3 linked regions of the Sus scrofa genome follow. The protein of the gene in region 3 purifies or fractionates together with the protein of the main gene of each other region. This does not show direct contact. Links are inferred from orthologs where the notes say so. Each region holds a gene or a part of one and is shown on either strand. Other genes may lie near its edges.

Region 1 (5,565 bases), on a different chromosome or scaffold from region 3:
CTGGATACCACCACATACCTACATGCCTAAGGTATTTTTTAAAGCCCCAAATCCCAGTCTTACTAGCTTTGCTCGAATATAACAGCCAATATTAATCCCTTTTTAATTTAGAAAAGTCTACTTATTAGGCTTATCCTTTCAAGCAATCATGTGTTGAACTCCTAGCATGTACCTAGCAGTAGGCCCAGCAAAGGTAAGTAAAAATCAGTCTCTGGTTATCAAGGAAATTAAAATTGACTTGGATTATTTAAAAAAAAACACTTGAGCATAAAACAAAGTTCAATTATGAGCTAATCTATATGATTCAAACCAAACAGTACTGCATCCAGTGAGAATTCATACCATTCAACACCTATTGATACCTGCTCTTTTTTTTCCTAACTCAGAAGATTGACAGAGGAGCTGAATTCCACATTATTGTACTTCCTATTTAAGGCTTAATCATGTCATATTGTACATTTCTCTTAACTTCCTTTCTTCCTCACTGTTCCATAAGGTCTCAGTAATCTTTGTATCTATTGTCTGGAACATGATAGTCATTCAAATTTTTGTTAAATGAATGAATGAATGAATGAATGAATTAGAAGCTAAGTCGAGCCCAGAGCAGCCCTTTCAAGGTCCTTAATGTTCTCCTATGGCAAATCCCCAAGGCTTTAATATTCAAGGCAGTTACCTAATATGACCTTTGACCTAGCTTTGGCCCCAAAGAGTGATTGGTAAAAAAGAGTTGGTGTTGAATGTTAAGACAAAGGCTCAGAAAAACCGCAGCAAATCTTGAAAATGCTTTTGGAAAAGAGAAAAAATATTATAACCCAATTCCTGGGGCATAAAACATGCTCACTAAATGTTTAAAGAGTGAATAAACAAAGCAGAACTGAGGAAAAACAGTGAGCTCAAGAAGAGACGAAACTCAGGGGGGCAGATGTGATAGATGGGGCTGTAGCTAAAGCCCTCTTGAGCTCACCCTCAACTAAATCTATTCCAAACAGCGATATCTATATTCATGGGTTAATTCTCCAACTAATCCCTTCTTCAGTAATCCAATTAAGATAAAATAAAACCTGTAAACCACACAACCAGCAGTGCCTCCCAAACTTGACCATACTCATCACCTAGCTATCTTGTTAAAAATGAAGGTTCTAAATCTTTACATTTGGGGTGAGGCCAAAGAGTCTACATTTCTAAGGCCCAGGTCACCACACCACACTTTTCAAGTATCAAGAGCCTGTAAAACATTGCAGAGAATATTCATGTAGTCTTAAAGCCAGCGTTAAAATAAATCCTGCTCCCAGCTTCCCTAGTTGTAAAACCTTAGACGTCATTTTACCTCTCTGAGTCTTCTGTTGTCATCAGTGGAATATGATGAATTACAGTAACTAACACTTACTGAATGCTTACTATGTGCCAGTAACTAATGCTTCATATTTATTAACTTATAGGACTTATATTAAACAATCCGTCCAAAGCAGGTACAATAAACATGGATCTTATTCTAGGTCGTTTAATTCAAGAGCCTGGTGTTTAATCACTGTGTAAGATTGCCCTTCCAGCCACAGCTCCTCAAGCCATTACGAAGATTAAACAGTAATTGGTATTTAGCTCACCTTCAGAGCACTGATATCCAGACCCTAGAGTAAGCTCCCTTGGGGGCATATTAACTCATTTATCTTTATAGTGGCCCTAGGAGGTAGGTACTATTAGTACTTTCATCTTACGGGTTTTAAAATAGGGCCAAATAAGTTAAACAGTTGAAGTTCAAACACCAGCGCAGTCAAGATTGTAACCAAGGCGGTCTAACAGAAGAGCCAGTCGCTCTTTAGCCACTAGCCAGGAGAGGATGTGAGAGGATGTAGCCCGGGGCGGGGAAGACCAGGCATCGGGCGGCTGGGATGGGGTCACGGCCGTGCCCACTCAGAGCTGCCTATGGCTTCCAAAGCAAACCAAGTCTTCGTCTACACTTGGCTTTAAGTACATCCGTGGGAAGGACCTCTGTCGGCCCACACCCAGGGCCCCATGGGCTCTGGTGAAATATAATTTATCTGTTCCCAAGAAGAACTGACTTAGTAAGTATCTTGAGAACTGACTTAACTTAGTGTAACACAGTCGCTCCGAGACCCCCTTATTCTGGGGCCCCCAAAATTTTCACTGCCCCTCCCTCCCTCACGCCACTGCCTAGTGGAAGCCCCGGTGCCAGTCAAACCTTGGACTTCGTAGTGCGCGGGTTCCTCGCTCCTGCTCCGCCTACATCCGGGCTGGAGCCCAAGGGCCGTCTCTAACCCCATCTGTTCTCCAACACCGCCCTCTGCCGGCCCTTCTTCGGGTCGCCCGCGTTGTGAGCCTTTTCCGGCTGCTCCGGAAGTGGAGCTTTCTCTTCCGGGACGAGCGTCTGGGCGACTGCACGTGGCTGTGTTGCCTTGGCCTTTGCCGGCGCTACTGGAGAATTGATTGGAACTGTTACCCCGGAACAGCCGGAGCCATGGAGGGCCAGAGCGTGGAGGAGCTGTTGGCAAAGGCGGAGCGGGACGAGGCGGAAAAGCTGCAGCGCATCACCGTGCACAAGGAACTAGAGCTGGAGTTCGACCTGGGTAACCTGCTGGCCTCCGACCGGAACCCCCCGACCGGGCTGCGGCATGCGGGACCCACGAAGGAGGCCGAGCTGCGAGCCCTGGCGCGGGACAACACGCAGCTGCTCATCAACCAGCTCTGGCAGCTGCCCACCGAGCGCGTGGAGGAGACGCTGGTGGCGCGGCTGCCGGAGCCCACCACTCGACTGCCGCGCGAGAAGCCGGTGCCCCGGCCGCGCCCTCTTACACGCTGGCAGCAGTTTGCGCGTCTCAAGGGCATCCGTCCTAAGAAGAAGACCAACCTGGTGTGGGACGAGGTAAGCGGCCAGTGGCGCCGCCGCTGGGGCTACCAACGGGCCCGCGATGATACCAAGGAATGGTTGATTGAGGTGCCGAGCAATGCCGACCCCATGGAGGACCAGTTCGCCAAGCGTATTCAGGCCAAGAAGGAACGGGTAGCCAAGAACGAGCTGAACCGGCTGCGTAACCTGGCCCGCGCGCACAAGATGCAGCTGCCCAGCGCGGCCGGCATGCACCCTACCGGACATCAGAGTAAGGAAGAGCTGGGCCGCGCCATGCAGGTGGCCAAGGTCTCCACCGCCTCTGTAGGGCGCTTCCAGGAGCGCCTGCCCAAGGAGAAGGCGCCCCGGGGCTCTGGCAAGAAAAGGAAGTTTCAACCCCTTTTTGGGGACTTTGCAGCTGAGAAGAAGAGCCAGTTGGAGATGTTGCGAGTAATGAACAGCAAAAAGCCTCAGCTGGACGTGACCAGAGCCACCAATAAGCAGATGAGGGAGGAGGACCAGGAAGAAGCGGCTAAGAGGAGGAAAATGAGCCAGAAGGGCAAAAGAAAGGGAGGCCGACAGGGTCCTGGGGGTAAGAGGAAAGGTGGCCCACCCAGCCAGGGAGGGAAGAGGAAAGGGGGCGTGGGAAGCAAGATGAATTCCGGGCCGCCGGGCTTGGGTGGCAAGAGAAAAGGAGGGCAACACCAAGGAGGAAAGAGGAGGAAGTAAATTTCAGCCTCGGACTTGTTTGTAAACCAAGAACTGTACTTAATGTTGACATCTAGGCACTGTAGGGGGACACCAAAGATGTGGCCCCTGCCTTCACTGAGCTTGAAGTTAAAGGGACAGCCTTGCCCTCCTCTGAAAATAGTATGTAAATATTGCACAGGACAAATTAATGTTATTTCCCACAACCAAAACTTTGGCTGAAGATTAAAGGATGTATTTAAGGCTATACGAATTAGGGAAAGAATTTGGTCGAAATTAGGAGTGAGTTCTGTTTTTAAACAGACTTTTTTTTTCCTTGTAAACTTTGTATGTGGTGTGAGGGAGGTCATATTTCAAAGACTTTTAGCATTGTTTTGATAACAAGCTTCTGTATTTATCAAAGTGGGGGAACAAAAAGATTACAAGGTTACATTTTCAGAACTGTTGTAAAGGCCATTTAATAAAGGTATGTCTGGATCTAATATTGCTTTCAAATTTTGTAAGTTTTAAGTAAAGCCAGTGACCTGGATACGTGTTACAGATTATTTTCATTTACTTTCTAGAAGATATCCACCAGCTAACTTATGACGTTAGCAAGACCGCTTTATTAGGAAAACTCATGCTCCTTTTGATACCTGATATATTATTGAAAGTGTACAACTGGTGTCTCTTTGAACACTGAAAACATTAATTTGCTCTAGCTGATAAATTTGTGCTTCACTAAATAATGCAATCTTAATTAATCCTAATTTTATACTTAAATTTTTATCAACATTTATGTCTCCAGTTCTTTTAAAGCTTCAAGTGGGATCTGTTTGGGGAAGAGAGAAACCCACAAAAACCTTGGAACATTATTATCTTTAGATTCATTTGTCACATTGACTTGAGCTGGTTTAATTAGGAGATGAAATGTTTACAGCTATCCTGGGTTTCTTTCCTTAATTGATTTCAGTAACTCACCTTCCTAAATATCTCCTGAAAATTAACAGTAAATCTAGAATGGGGGGAGGGGGCTTTTTTCTGCTGTTAGAGCTCTAGGGAGCCACTCTACTCTTGGTTTTTGGTCTGACAATTGATAGGAAATTAGAATTGGGAGTTCGTTTTGTCTTTTTTTCAGTGTTGTTCCCTTTTTACAAAGTTGTAGAAATTGCTATGAAAGAAAGGATTAATTCAGATTTCATAATGGGTTAATAAAAATATGTTCAATTGTTACTGTCTTAAGATAACTTTCTGATAAAGAGCTGTGCCATCGATAGTGTTTCTGCTAGGACAGGGGGCAGAAGGCAACATAGCATTTTAAAGGAGTCAGAGTGGAAAAGAATGCTCTTTCTCCACATTTCCCAGGTCTCCGACTAGTGACAAAGAGGATTTACACAGAGACTTGGGGAAGTATCCTAAACAGTTACCTGCATGGCAATTTCAAAGGCGGAGGGTGAGACCCTGCAGCTGGAGCAGTCGTAGTTCCGCCTCGTGGGAGAATGGCCTGGAGCCGGAGGGCTGCTGTGGGGGGCGCGAGACCCAGCGGAGCGGGTGGGCGGGCGCGGCCGAGGGGGCGGAGGGGAAGCCAGCGGCACGGATTGGCCGGCGGTGGGGGCGGGGCCCCGAGGAGGGAAACGGTGCAGCCATGGCCGCTGCCGCTCGCGCCCGGGTAGCACACTTGCTGAGGCAACTGCAGCGCGCAGCGTGAGTACGGGGTCGGCAGGCGGGCAGGGGACAGCGCATTCTTCCCGCAGTCATTTTCAGGAACTTTGGATCGCGTTGCCGCAGTGCGCGCCCGCGGCGAGCCAGCCTAGACAGCTCCGTCCCTGTGCCAAGCAGCCAGCGCTGCGCGGTGAGGCCGCTTGTACTCTGCCAGTTCTACGTTAGGGAAAGTAAGCCCCAGAAAGGAGAGCACCCGGTCTCAGATCAGGGCGGGCAATGGAGAGCCTGGCACAGTGACCAAGACAAATGCATGTGTCCAACCAACACATACGTACTGGGTGTATGTTATCGTGCCAAAAACTATTCTAGGA
Region 2 (5,565 bases), on a different chromosome or scaffold from region 3:
ACACAGGGAAATGACAATAAAATAAATGTGTGAGTTTGGATGCTGGCTATTTCTAACATATGCATCAAATGCTATTATCAAAACATTGCCCATAATACAGCAGTCTCTTGACTTTCTCTATGCCTACTTAGAAATTAACAGAGAAGCTTGGACGGGAGAAGAGTTGAAAAAAATATAAAACTGGGTTTATATACTGCATACAAAAATAGGAGTTGGTAGAGTGTTTTGTAATTGAAAAATGCTTTATTTATTTATTTTGCTTTTGAGGGCTACACCCACAGCATAGCTCCCACACTAGGGGTTGAATCGGTTATACAGTTGCCGGCCTACACCACAGCCACAGCCACGCCAGATCCAAACCGCGTCTGCAACCTACAGCACAGCTCACAGCAACGCTAGATTCTTAACTCACTGCGCAAGGCCAGGGATCAAACCCACAACCTCATGGTTCCTAGTTGGATTCACTTCCGCTGCACCACAATGGGAACTCCAAAAAAAAAAAAAAGCTTTATTTTTAAGAGATGTCACCTTTAGAATTTAAAGTAAGCAATATGTTAACTTAAAAATTCATTTACAATACAGGTAGTTTAAAAGCTTTTGTCTTAATGTTTTTCATTAAAAAATATTTTAATAATTCTAAAATTAATTTTGGAAGGCATGGGGGAAGAATGGAGGAGCTGAATTATGTCAGGGTCTCTGATTAGTGCTTTTTATCTAGTCAAGTATTTATAAGGATATATATATGGGTGTGTATATACATATACCCAAATCACTTTGCTGTACACCTGAAAACTAACAAACTACTGTAAATCAACTACACTTCAATAAAAAATTTCAATTAAAACAAAACACTTAAAAGAGAAGTTGTTTTAGGAAACGAAGGTGATAAAAAGTAACATTTGGCCTGGAATCACACCATTCAAGAAAAAGAAAAATCGAGAAAACCACCTGTAAAAGCCAGGATAACATATCAAATTATAGTCATACGATGCTACTCTTAATAACAGAAATATTCAGTATAAGCATTATAAAAATAATTCTTACCATTTATTCAGTTTTGCCAGGCACTGTACTAGGTACTTTACAATCATGATTTCTAATTCTAAAAACCATGCTTAGAAAGACAGTTCTGTTTTTTTAAAACAAAAGAAGGAAATGAATCTTATTAAAGTTTAACGACTCATCTAAAGCCATACAGCTAGTAAGTGTCAGAAGCAGTGTTTGAATCCAAGTTTTTCTTCCATACCACACAGCACCTACCATAAAGAAAAGCAACAGAATACACTGCTCTTACTATTTTATCCAAATTTCATTTGTAAAATCCCCACAGTCTACTATTCTGATATGGCAATATCTATCTTTCACAGTGTTAATAAATTATTAAGGAAATCCATTATGTTTGTGTTTGGATAACAGTGTTATCATAGATAACAAAAGTACGCTATTCTTGTCCTCGGGTCCAACAATTTAGAACCTGTTACTCAAAACAAGAAGCCCTCTGATTCAAACATAAAACACAGATTTCTATTGAGTCACAATCACAAAGATCCGAAACTCCATTTTTGAGCCACTTCTGCATAATAAGAATCCAGCCTGGATTTGTCCATGATAGAATGTTAAACTAAGAAGTCCCTGAAGAGGTCAGTGTTGACAAAATTCACCATGACGGTGGAGCCTACACAGACACAGGAAAAGCTAGGCCCTTCCACACAGCCTTAAGTCCTCTCGATGACTTCGTTTTAAGTCAATGTCTCTTCATGCCGCACATATTCCCCAATGTCTGCTTGATGAAATACCACAATCGCCATGGGGTCTACTTTCCTGCAGTCTTGTGTAGACTTTGCTGCCACCCCAAAACCCTGGGATTCAAAAGAAGAGACACTGATTCACTCAAGTCATTCGATGAGCACGCATTAAGATTTGGAAATAACACAGATGAAAAAAATATAGTTCTTTGAGGACTTCAAAAGGTGCTGAGATCTTAGTCTCTCAAGTGAAGATTGAAAATACATCCTTCTTAAACAAAAAGATACTTGATTTTTTAACAGCTACCACATGTACTCACCAAAGGGATGTCTGCCATGGAGTACACCACAACTCCCTGGTACTGTGAAGTATTTTCAGTGATTCGACCAAGTCCAGATTTCAGCACATGGTTCCCATACAGGAAGGACTGCTCTGCTCCAGGCTTTATCCACACTTTATACTACAATACAAAGAATTACATCCAAGAGACATAATAAAAATAGTTAGATGCCTGCAGACAAGCTAGCTGCTGAATCTATGGTTAATTTTTTTCTTTCTTTATGAACAAAGTTTTTTTTCTTTTCTTTTTTTTGTCTTCTTAGGGCCACACCCGTAGCATATGGAAGTATCCAGGCTAGGGGCCAAATTGCAGCTGCAGCTGCCTCAGCAACGTCAGATCTGAGCTGCCTCTGCAACCTACACCACAGCTCACCACAAGGTCCAATCCTTAACCCACTGAGCCCAGGGATAGAACGTGCATCCTCATGGATACTGGTCGGGTTCCTTAACCGCTGAGCCACAACAGGAACTCCCCCATGCTGTTTATTTCATCCCTGTACTTCCTTTATCTCATAATACAAATTTCAAGGAAAAGAAAGAAAAAGGCATGCTTCCCTCAAACTGTTCAGAACTGCTAGGAGGTTCCTTCAACTCTACAATCGACCTTTCCCACGGGCAGTTTAACGGCTTTTTCTGGATCCCACTATGCTCCTCACCGCAGCCTCCTATTTACTTTTTCCTCTTGAACTAGATCAGAAAAGGCTTTTCTACTTTGCTGGAGATACTACTCCAATCACTACGCAGCCCCAACCACGCCCAAGCAGCAAGATCTAAGTAGGAACATCTCCAGGTGCTGGCACTGATCCTAGGCACCCTCAGGGACTAACGCAGGTGCCCAATTATCTGCAGTCTGATGTGGCCCTCAGCCTAGACCGCCCCCATCCCTAGAAGCGGGCTGAAAACCACTCCCCACAAACCTTGGCATAAGGTGCTAAGTAATCCAGAGCTGTGATGTGCAACCGAAACTTGTGGGTCTTCGTGAATTTTCCAAAGCACGTTCCCAGCGACATCAGCTTGTCACCAGAGATATTAGCGGCCAATTTTAAGATCTTTTCACTGAAAGGGTAAGGAAGAAGGAGGTGTCAGATAAGGGAGGCTGGTGGGACCCAGGCCTCCACCCGGGTCCATGCTGCCTACCCAGCCCCGCCTCACCTCACATAGTAAACCCGGTCGTTGTGCAGCCTGAAACAGTAGGTGCCGTCGGGCCTGTCAACCAGCAGCTGAAGATTCTCCCCGATGCTGAAAGCAGAAAAGAGGCTGGAGGCTGCGCCCGGACTCGTCCCGGCCCCGCGGCCCCGCTCTACCCACAGCCCTCCCCGCCATGCACGCACTCCCTCATCTGCCCCGGGCGTTCTTACTATTTTGCTATCTTCTCAAACATTACACGCGTCTCCTCTTCAGTCAGAGGCCGCATTTTCCCGCTGGGCTGGAACACCGGATCCTCGTGCCTCAGTCGCCGGAAACGGAAGGCCAGCCTCCCGCCTCTCCTTGGCAACCTCAAATCCGGCCTCTCTAGCTGCCTTCGCGTGGTTCGTCACGCGAGCGCCCCGCGGCCTTGGAGGACCAGCGGGGAATGCAAGCCGGCCGGGTGAGGCGCCATGGAGACCGGAAGTGCGGCGTTGCTTCCGGTCCTGGATTCCGAGCCAGCGCCCTCGCCGAGCGGGAGGCGAAGGGACGCCGCTGCTGAGAAGATGGCGGCGACGGAGACGATCCCTGCTTCAACTGCGGCCTCGGCCACGGCGACGGCCACTGCGGCTGCTCTCGGGGAGGTGGAGGATGAAGGGCTCCTGGCATCGCTGTTCCGGGACCGCTTCCCAGAGGCCCAGTGGCGGGAGCGGCCCGACGTGGGCCGCTACCTCAGGGAGTTGAGCGGCTCGGGGCTGGATCGGCTGCGGCGCGAGCCAGAGCGCCTGGCGGAGGAGCGAGCGCAGCTGCTGCAGCAGACGCGCGACTTGGCCTTCGCCAACTACAAGACCTTCATCCGCGGCGCCGAGTGCACCGAGCGCATACATCGCCTCTTTGGCGACGTGGAGGAGTCGCTCGGCCGCCTGCTCGACCGCTTGCCCAGCTTCCAGCAGAGCTGCAGGTGCGGCGGGCCCAGCGTTTAAGGGGCTTTTAAGAGCTGTGACAGCTAATATTTACGATGAGGGAAATAGCTAACACTTAGATAGCGCTTACCAGGTGCCACGCTCTCATCTGAGCATTTTATTAATCCATTTAAACGTCACAGCAGCCTTCGAGGTAGGTATTATTCCCATTTTGTATATGAGGAAGTCGAGACACAGAGGTTAGTGACTGACACAAGGCACAGCTAGTAAGTCTCGAAGTCAAAATTGGAACCCAGCAGCCTCGTAGGGCTGTCGTGAGCGCTAAGTAGAGAATCCATGCAAAGCACTTATCATTGGATCTGACATAATTAACACTCTACAGTTGTCACCTTCATACATATACACACAACACACAGGTACACACAGTAGCTTGGACCAGGGTCGTTGGCTCCAAAACTTTCATTGATAGGAGAATGCCAAGGAAATCCTCTCATTCGGGGGCAGTAAAAATTATCCAAAAAATCCAAACAAACCGTCCTATCGGAACCATATTCTTTTTTTTTTCCCCTCCCTTTTTAAGGCTGAACCCACAGCATATGGAAGTTCCCAGGCTAGGGGTCGAATTGGAGATAACAGCTGCCAGCCTATGCCACAGCATTGCAAGATCCAAGCTGTATCTGCGACCTACACCACAGATCACGGCATTTCTGGATCCCCAACCCACTGAGTGAGGCCAGGGATCAAACATGTGTCCTCGTGGATACCAGTCGAATTCCTTTCCACTGCTCCACGACAGGATCTCCTCGAGCCATATTCTGCCTCTCTCGAACCTCAATCCACAAATTCTGCTTTCCAACCTCACATGATAAAAGTTTCAAGTTTTCTTTGTCTTTGCACATTTGACCATGGCTTCTGTACTCTTCCAATACCCTACAAAAGACAGGGAGCTTCATAAAGCAGGACTTTACAGTTATGGGGAAGAAATGGAGACTGCAGCAGGAACTAAGGATGGACAGTGGCATAGGAGAAGATTAAGAGGCTGAGGGAACTTGGGGTTAAGGTTGTAGTTTCTAGGTTAGGCAGGCATTATGAAAAGAAGAATAGCTGTCATTGGAGGTGCCATTGTGGCTCAGTAGAAATGAATCTGACTAGCATCCATGAGGACGCAGGTTTGATCCCTCGCCTCCCTCAGTGGGTTAAGGATCCAGTGTTGCCATGAGCTGTGGTGTAGGTCGCAGACGTGGCTCAGATCTGGTGTTGCTGTGGCTGTGGTGTAGGCCAGTGGCTGCAACTCCAATTGAACCCCTACTCTGGGAACCTCCATGTACTGTGGGTGCGGCTCTAAAAAGACAAAAAAGGAAAAAAAAAAAAGAGCAGCTATTATTAGAGGAACATTTACTCTGTGTTGGGTTCTGCATTAAATGTTTTATAT
Region 3 (5,473 bases):
GGGGGTTGTGGGACAAAGGTGCAAGTGGGGACTTTCTTTGTATTCCATACAAAGAAATTGCTTCAATTTTCCTAATTACACACTCACATACTAACTGTACAGTACATAATAACTTCTCCTACTTCAGTAAATAAATCGTTGTCTACGTTTTGGATCCTCTTCCTAGGACAGAATCACCAAGTCAAAAGAAAAAAATCTTTTTTTTTTGTCTGTTTGACATTTCTTGGGCTGTTCCCACGGCATATGGAGGTTCCCAGGCCAGGGGTCAAATCAGAGCTACAGCTGCCGGCCTACGCCGGAGCCACAGCAACACAGGATCCGAGCCGCGTCTGCAACCTACACCACAGCTCATGGCAACATCAGATCCTTAACCCACTGAGCAAGGCCAGGGATCGAACCCGCAACCTCTGGTTCCTAGTCGGATTAGTTAACCACTGAGCCACAACGGCAACTCCCCAAAGAAAAAATCTTTTTGAGGTTCACAGATACCAAATAAAATCCTTGTCCTCTACACAGGCTTATCCTCGTCACCAAGGGACAGTCAGTCTCAACGATCTGGAAAGACTCAAAAAGGCAAAGATCGCTTCCTGGAGACCCAGAGAGACAGAGCTCACCTCTTCACTGTCATCCTCTTCTTCGTCCTCTGAACTGGAGTTGGCTCCATAGTCATCTACCATATCGGCATCACTGTCCTCAGAGCCCCAGAGGTCCCCCTCGTTCACCACACCACCCTCTTCAGAGTCTTCCTCCTCTCCCTCCTCCTCACTGCTATAGGCTGATGCTGGGCGCTTCTTGCCTTGAGCAGCATTAAATAAGGACAGGGCTCCCTTCTTACTCGGTGTCTGGACGGCTCCTGCAGAGATCCCAAAGGGTTTGAATACCGGGCTGAGAGCAGTCACACATTAATGAGGCCTGTACTCTCTACCCCCACAAATGTCCTTTGGCTGTTCCTTTCACTCCAGAAATGATCAGCAAGCTCTTCCCTACCCAGGACCCAGTGTACTCCTCACATAGCACCCAGCTCCTATTTTCACTGACCTTTTGGTAGCTTTCCAGGCAATGGTCTGGCCCCAGGGGATTTATTTGTCTCACGGACTTCAGCAGAGCCCAACCTCCTCTTGGCTGCCCTGAAAAGACATAAGGAGTAAGGAAATGGAATACCCCTCCAGGCTCTGCCACTTCCCACTGCAGGGAACCATGACAGTCCCCAAAGAGCCCTTTCCATCAGCAGGGTCACATGGGATCATGTGCCCAAAGATGAGCAGGACCAATTTAATCTGCCTGTGTAACATAAATGTGGACATTCACACTCACCTCTTTCTTTCCTTTTTTTTTTTTTTTTTTTTTTTGGTCTTTTTAGGGCCGCACCTGAGGCACATGGCTGTAGCCACCGGCATACACCACAGCCACAGCCACGCCAGATCCGAGCCTCGTCTGCAACCTATGCCACAGCTCATGGCAACACTGGATCCTTAACCCACTGAGCGAGTCCAAGGATTGAACCTGCATCCTTAAGGATGCTAGTAGGATTCGTTTCCACTGAACCACGACAGGACTCCTACACTCACCTCTTTCGAGCACGACTGGACAGCCTCTTGGAATTTTCATCACCAGCTGTTTAAAAAATCAAAAAAAGGAAGAGAGGAGGTTATGAGAAAATAAAAAGCAGGAGAGAAAATAAAAGGGCAGAGAATTAGGACAGTAGTTAAAGGGAAGAGATTGTAACTCACTCCACTGTGCTCTACAGGGAGCCGGGTAAAGAGATGTAAAGGAGCTGATCGCCATCTGGCTGCTCATCAACCAAATCCAAACTGGGCCTCCCTCCAGACTGATTTCAAAAAATAGCATCATCGCCATTCTGAAACTTTCAAATCTTTCTTCTGCCCTTTCTTTTATCTAATCAGTTGCCAACCACAGATTTCAAAACTACTGCTTTTCCTATATTCTCCAAGAAATAGAAAGTTTAAAGCCCTCCTATTTTTTTTTTTTTTCCTTTTGTCCTTTTTTTAGGGCTGCACCGGAGGCGGCTTATGGAGGTTCCCAGGCTAGGGGTCCAATCAGAGCTGTTGCTGCCAGCCTACACCACAGCCACAGCAACGCCAGATCCTAGCCATGTCTGCAAACTACACCACAGCTTAGGGCAGCACCGGATCCTTAACCCACTGAGCAAGGCCAGGGATCGAACCCGCAATCTCATGGTTCCCAGTCGGATTCATTTCCACTGCACCAAGACTGGAACTCCATAAAGCACTATCATTTTATAACTATACAAATTAACCTCTCAGCATCCATTTCCTCGGCAGTGCCTCTCTCACAGGACACAGAGAATGAAGTGATATAATGTGTCCAGCGGGTTCAGCATTGTATTTACCACTTACCTATACTTCAATAAACTGCATCTTTTAGACAATACTCAACACAAACTACCTGCAGTAGACTCCTGACCAAGTGGGAGCCAGCTCTGTGCCTTCCCATCTCCTCTACAATGCAGTTCACAGTGACTGGACTGTCCCGTTCCCAACTTCCACCTGCTAAAATGTCACCCACTTCTCAAAACCCAACTTCTTTTTTCTCCTTCTCTTCTTTTTTTGTCTTACAATCTTTTGTGTCCAGGGCTGATTTTCAATAGATCACACCAAGGGAGCTGCATGGCTACCTATGAAACCCCCACACAGAAGCAGGTCATCTAAGAAGAGCTTAGTGCAAAACCCAACTTCTTGGAAGTTCCTGCTGTGGTGCAGTCGCTTAACGATCAGTATGGTAGGTCACAGCTCCAGTTTGGATTCGCTCCCTGGCCTGGGAACTTCCACATGCTGCCGAGACGGCCAAAAAAAAAAAAAAAAAGTCACAAAATCTTTTCAAACTTGGCAACTCCGTGGAATCCTGCTTCCTCTGAAGGCCCTAAACATTAAACCACACATCTCCTTGCATGGGAACTTGTGCCCGTCACATCTTCCCTAATTTCTAAACGTTTATGAGATTGTTCCATTCATATTTACTTCCTAATAACTCATGAACACACAATCTAAAAAACTGAGGGATTACACTACAGATGGAAGAACGGCGCAAAAGCTAGAGAATCGGAAGGGGACGGGCACGCCTGACCCTTACCTGCAGGCAAGAATCTGACGAGTTCGGTCTCAGCACCTTTCTGCTTTCGGGCCTTTCGGCCCGGCCCGCGTTTCTCCTTCGTAGGGTCCAATTTGCGCCCCATGGTACTGAGGAAAACAAAAACGAGAGACAGTAGAGTGGCGCGTGTTGTCCGGGAAAGGCAGAGAGCAGACGAAGCAAGTTGAAGTGGAAAAGGGCACTGCCTTGACGAGAACCTCGACTCAGCAGCCCCACTGCCCCTCGAGGCCTGGCCACACCTCCACTACACGCTGAGCCCCGGGCCCTGGGTCCCACACCGCTGGTACAACGTCCCCTTCCCACGCCCCGGTCCAAGTGGACGCCTCACCCTTCCTTCCTCGACTTCCTGCAGAAGACCCGCCCGAAGCTGCAGCTCACCTGGAAGCGGGTCCAGTCCCGAGAAGGCCCTAGGAAGCAGCGACAGCACTCCACGTGTGGTGCGGGGCTGGCGCTCCGACGCCACACCACGGGAACGTCTCGCGCAAGCGCACAGCGCGCCCGCTGAGGCCCCGCCTCTTCCGGGCTTCCCGTCCGCCGCGGAAGCCGGAAGTTTCATTCGCGCGGCCGCGCGGGGCAGGCGGTGCAGAGGGCGGCCGGGGAGGACCGCTCTGCTCTCTCCCAGGTGGAGAAGGCGGCGCGTAGGGGGACGCCTTTAGCTTCCCCGCCCTTCCCTCCAGATGTGGGCCTTACGCCTTATGGCGGATTTCGTCCGAAAAACTGGTACCCAAAAGACGGCCCCTCCCTTCGGACGGAGGCGTCAGAGCCGGACCCTCTTTCGCCCCACGTCTCAAGGTCGCACCCACTCCCAAGTCCTGTGACTTTGAAACCTTCTTCCTTGACACCATACCCCGCGCTGCCCCTCAGGTAAGGGAACTCTCTGCCTTGGTTCCCATACGAGAGGTCGGGAGGACGGCATCTTGTGTTCTCACTTCACACAAACAGAAAACCCAGAGCAGCCTTTCTTGAAATAAACCCTAAGGTGGTGCTTAGCAGCTGTTCAAAACTGCTCCGGCACTTCGCTGGTTTGTCTTCGCAATGTTGCGAGGAAGATTCTCCTTTGATTCTCTACAGCAGACATCTACAGCCTGGAGACGGCCGCGAAGCTGGGAGTCAGGCTTAGGCTGTGAACCCAGGGGGCTCCGGAGCTCCTCGCAGCGTGCAGGTGGTGGCGGCCGGAGCACGAGGGTAGGTGCACAGTCCAGATTTCGTGGAGTCTCAGGACACAAGGAAACCCTTGGTCTTCAGCTGCACTGTCCCAAGGCTCCCGTCGGACACACCCACCTGCACCTACACCCACACTGAACCAGAGCACTAAAATACAAGGAAACTTTTATTTTCAATTTTTGTCAAGAAATTTGCTGTGGTTTTTTATGCTTTTGGTTCTTTTCCTTTTTTTTTTTTTTTTTTTTTCCAACTTTATTTCATTCTAGCCGCTCAGGGGCTGGAGCCGCTGGGTTCCTGGTATTAAAAAGATGCCAACAGAGGTAGCTGTGTCTCGCCCAGGGGCCCGGCCCACTGTGAATACCCCCCAAAAAGGAGAAATGAAAACACAAAATAAACCAACAAAATAAAACCAAAAGGAGGAAGAAATTCAGATCATTTTCTTCAAGCCTGGCGGGAACCCACAACAGTTTGTGTGTAACAGACGTTACAGTGGGGAGAAGCCAGGGCCCAAAAGGCCAGCCCGCCAGCTCCCTGCAGATGGCGCCGGCGCTACTGCTGCATGTCTCTCCAGCAGGAAGGGCACCACTGCCCCTCACTCCCTCCCCTCCCCCAGTGCACTGGGGGCTGTTCCTCTACAGCTTGGAAGATGGGGCAGAAGGGAGGAGAGGGTCTCTCAGGCCCCCAGGGGAGAAGCTGGGCAAGGGAAAGTGAGGAAGGTCACTGCTCAGCGGTGGACGTGGTATCATCCATCTGGATCTTCACTGCTGCTGGGCTACCTAGAGAAAGAGAGAGCCAAGAGGGTCAGAATGTCAGACCCCAGGAACCCTCCTGACCCCAAAGGAACTCACTGGTGGACCAGCCCCACCTGCCCAATGTGTAAAGCCAGGGACAGACAGCAACGTTACAAGTTCCAGAGTGGCTCTGCTGGAACAGATGGCCAGAGGAAAATGGTCCTATACCTGCTGTGGAGTCGGTTCAGGTGCCCGGTTTGCCAGGCGGCTGAGAATGTTACGCTCGGACATCTGTAGCCTCACAGCAACTGGGGGAATTCGGGCAATAGTAGCTGGGAGTCGAGTCACATCGGCTTTCATGTCACTCAGCAGTTCTTCTAGCTGTTTCAGAACTGCATGGGGGGGAAAAAAGGCGGTGAGCCGTGGTGGTCAAGACCTAGGCCCATCTT

Evidence for each region.
Region 1: the proteins of NOP2 (region 3) and RRS1 fractionate together in Homo sapiens (co-fractionation; 3 studies listed by BioGRID and IntAct, with this or other methods). This does not show direct contact. The link is inferred for Sus scrofa from reciprocal best matches to the Homo sapiens genes NOP2 and RRS1.
Region 2: the proteins of NOP2 (region 3) and NIP7 purify together in Homo sapiens (affinity purification with mass spectrometry; 3 studies listed by BioGRID and IntAct, with this or other methods). This does not show direct contact. The link is inferred for Sus scrofa from reciprocal best matches to the Homo sapiens genes NOP2 and NIP7.

The regions. Positions count from the first base shown.
Region 1 is NC_010446.5:68,285,000-68,290,564, reverse strand, and holds RRS1 (ribosome biogenesis regulatory protein homolog), read left to right. Parts: upstream 1-2,351; 5' UTR 2,352-2,476; coding exon 2,477-3,574; 3' UTR 3,575-4,762; downstream 4,763-5,565. Other genes in the region: ADHFE1 (hydroxyacid-oxoacid transhydrogenase, mitochondrial), read left to right, coding at 5,178-5,236. UniProt on the Homo sapiens protein: Involved in ribosomal large subunit assembly. May regulate the localization of the 5S RNP/5S ribonucleoprotein particle to the nucleolus.
Region 2 is NC_010448.4:17,641,869-17,647,433, forward strand, and holds NIP7 (60S ribosome subunit biogenesis protein NIP7 homolog), read right to left. Parts: upstream 3,537-5,565; 5' UTR 3,500-3,536; coding exon 3,444-3,499; intron 3,325-3,443; coding exon 3,238-3,324; intron 3,142-3,237; coding exon 3,003-3,141; intron 2,207-3,002; coding exon 2,066-2,206; intron 1,860-2,065; coding exon 1,740-1,859; 3' UTR 224-1,739; downstream 1-223.
Region 3 is NC_010447.5:64,104,243-64,109,715, reverse strand, and holds the start of NOP2 (probable 28S rRNA (cytosine(4447)-C(5))-methyltransferase), read right to left. Parts: upstream 3,508-5,473; intron 3,219-3,507; coding exon of another isoform or gene 3,215-3,218; coding exon 3,112-3,214; intron 1,615-3,111; coding exon 1,569-1,614; intron 1,128-1,568; coding exon 1,039-1,127; intron 854-1,038; coding exon 615-853; intron 1-614. Other genes in the region: CHD4 (chromodomain-helicase-DNA-binding protein 4), read right to left, coding at 5,052-5,069, 5,253-5,416. UniProt on the Homo sapiens protein: S-adenosyl-L-methionine-dependent methyltransferase that specifically methylates the C(5) position of cytosine 4447 in 28S rRNA. Required for efficient rRNA processing and 60S ribosomal subunit biogenesis.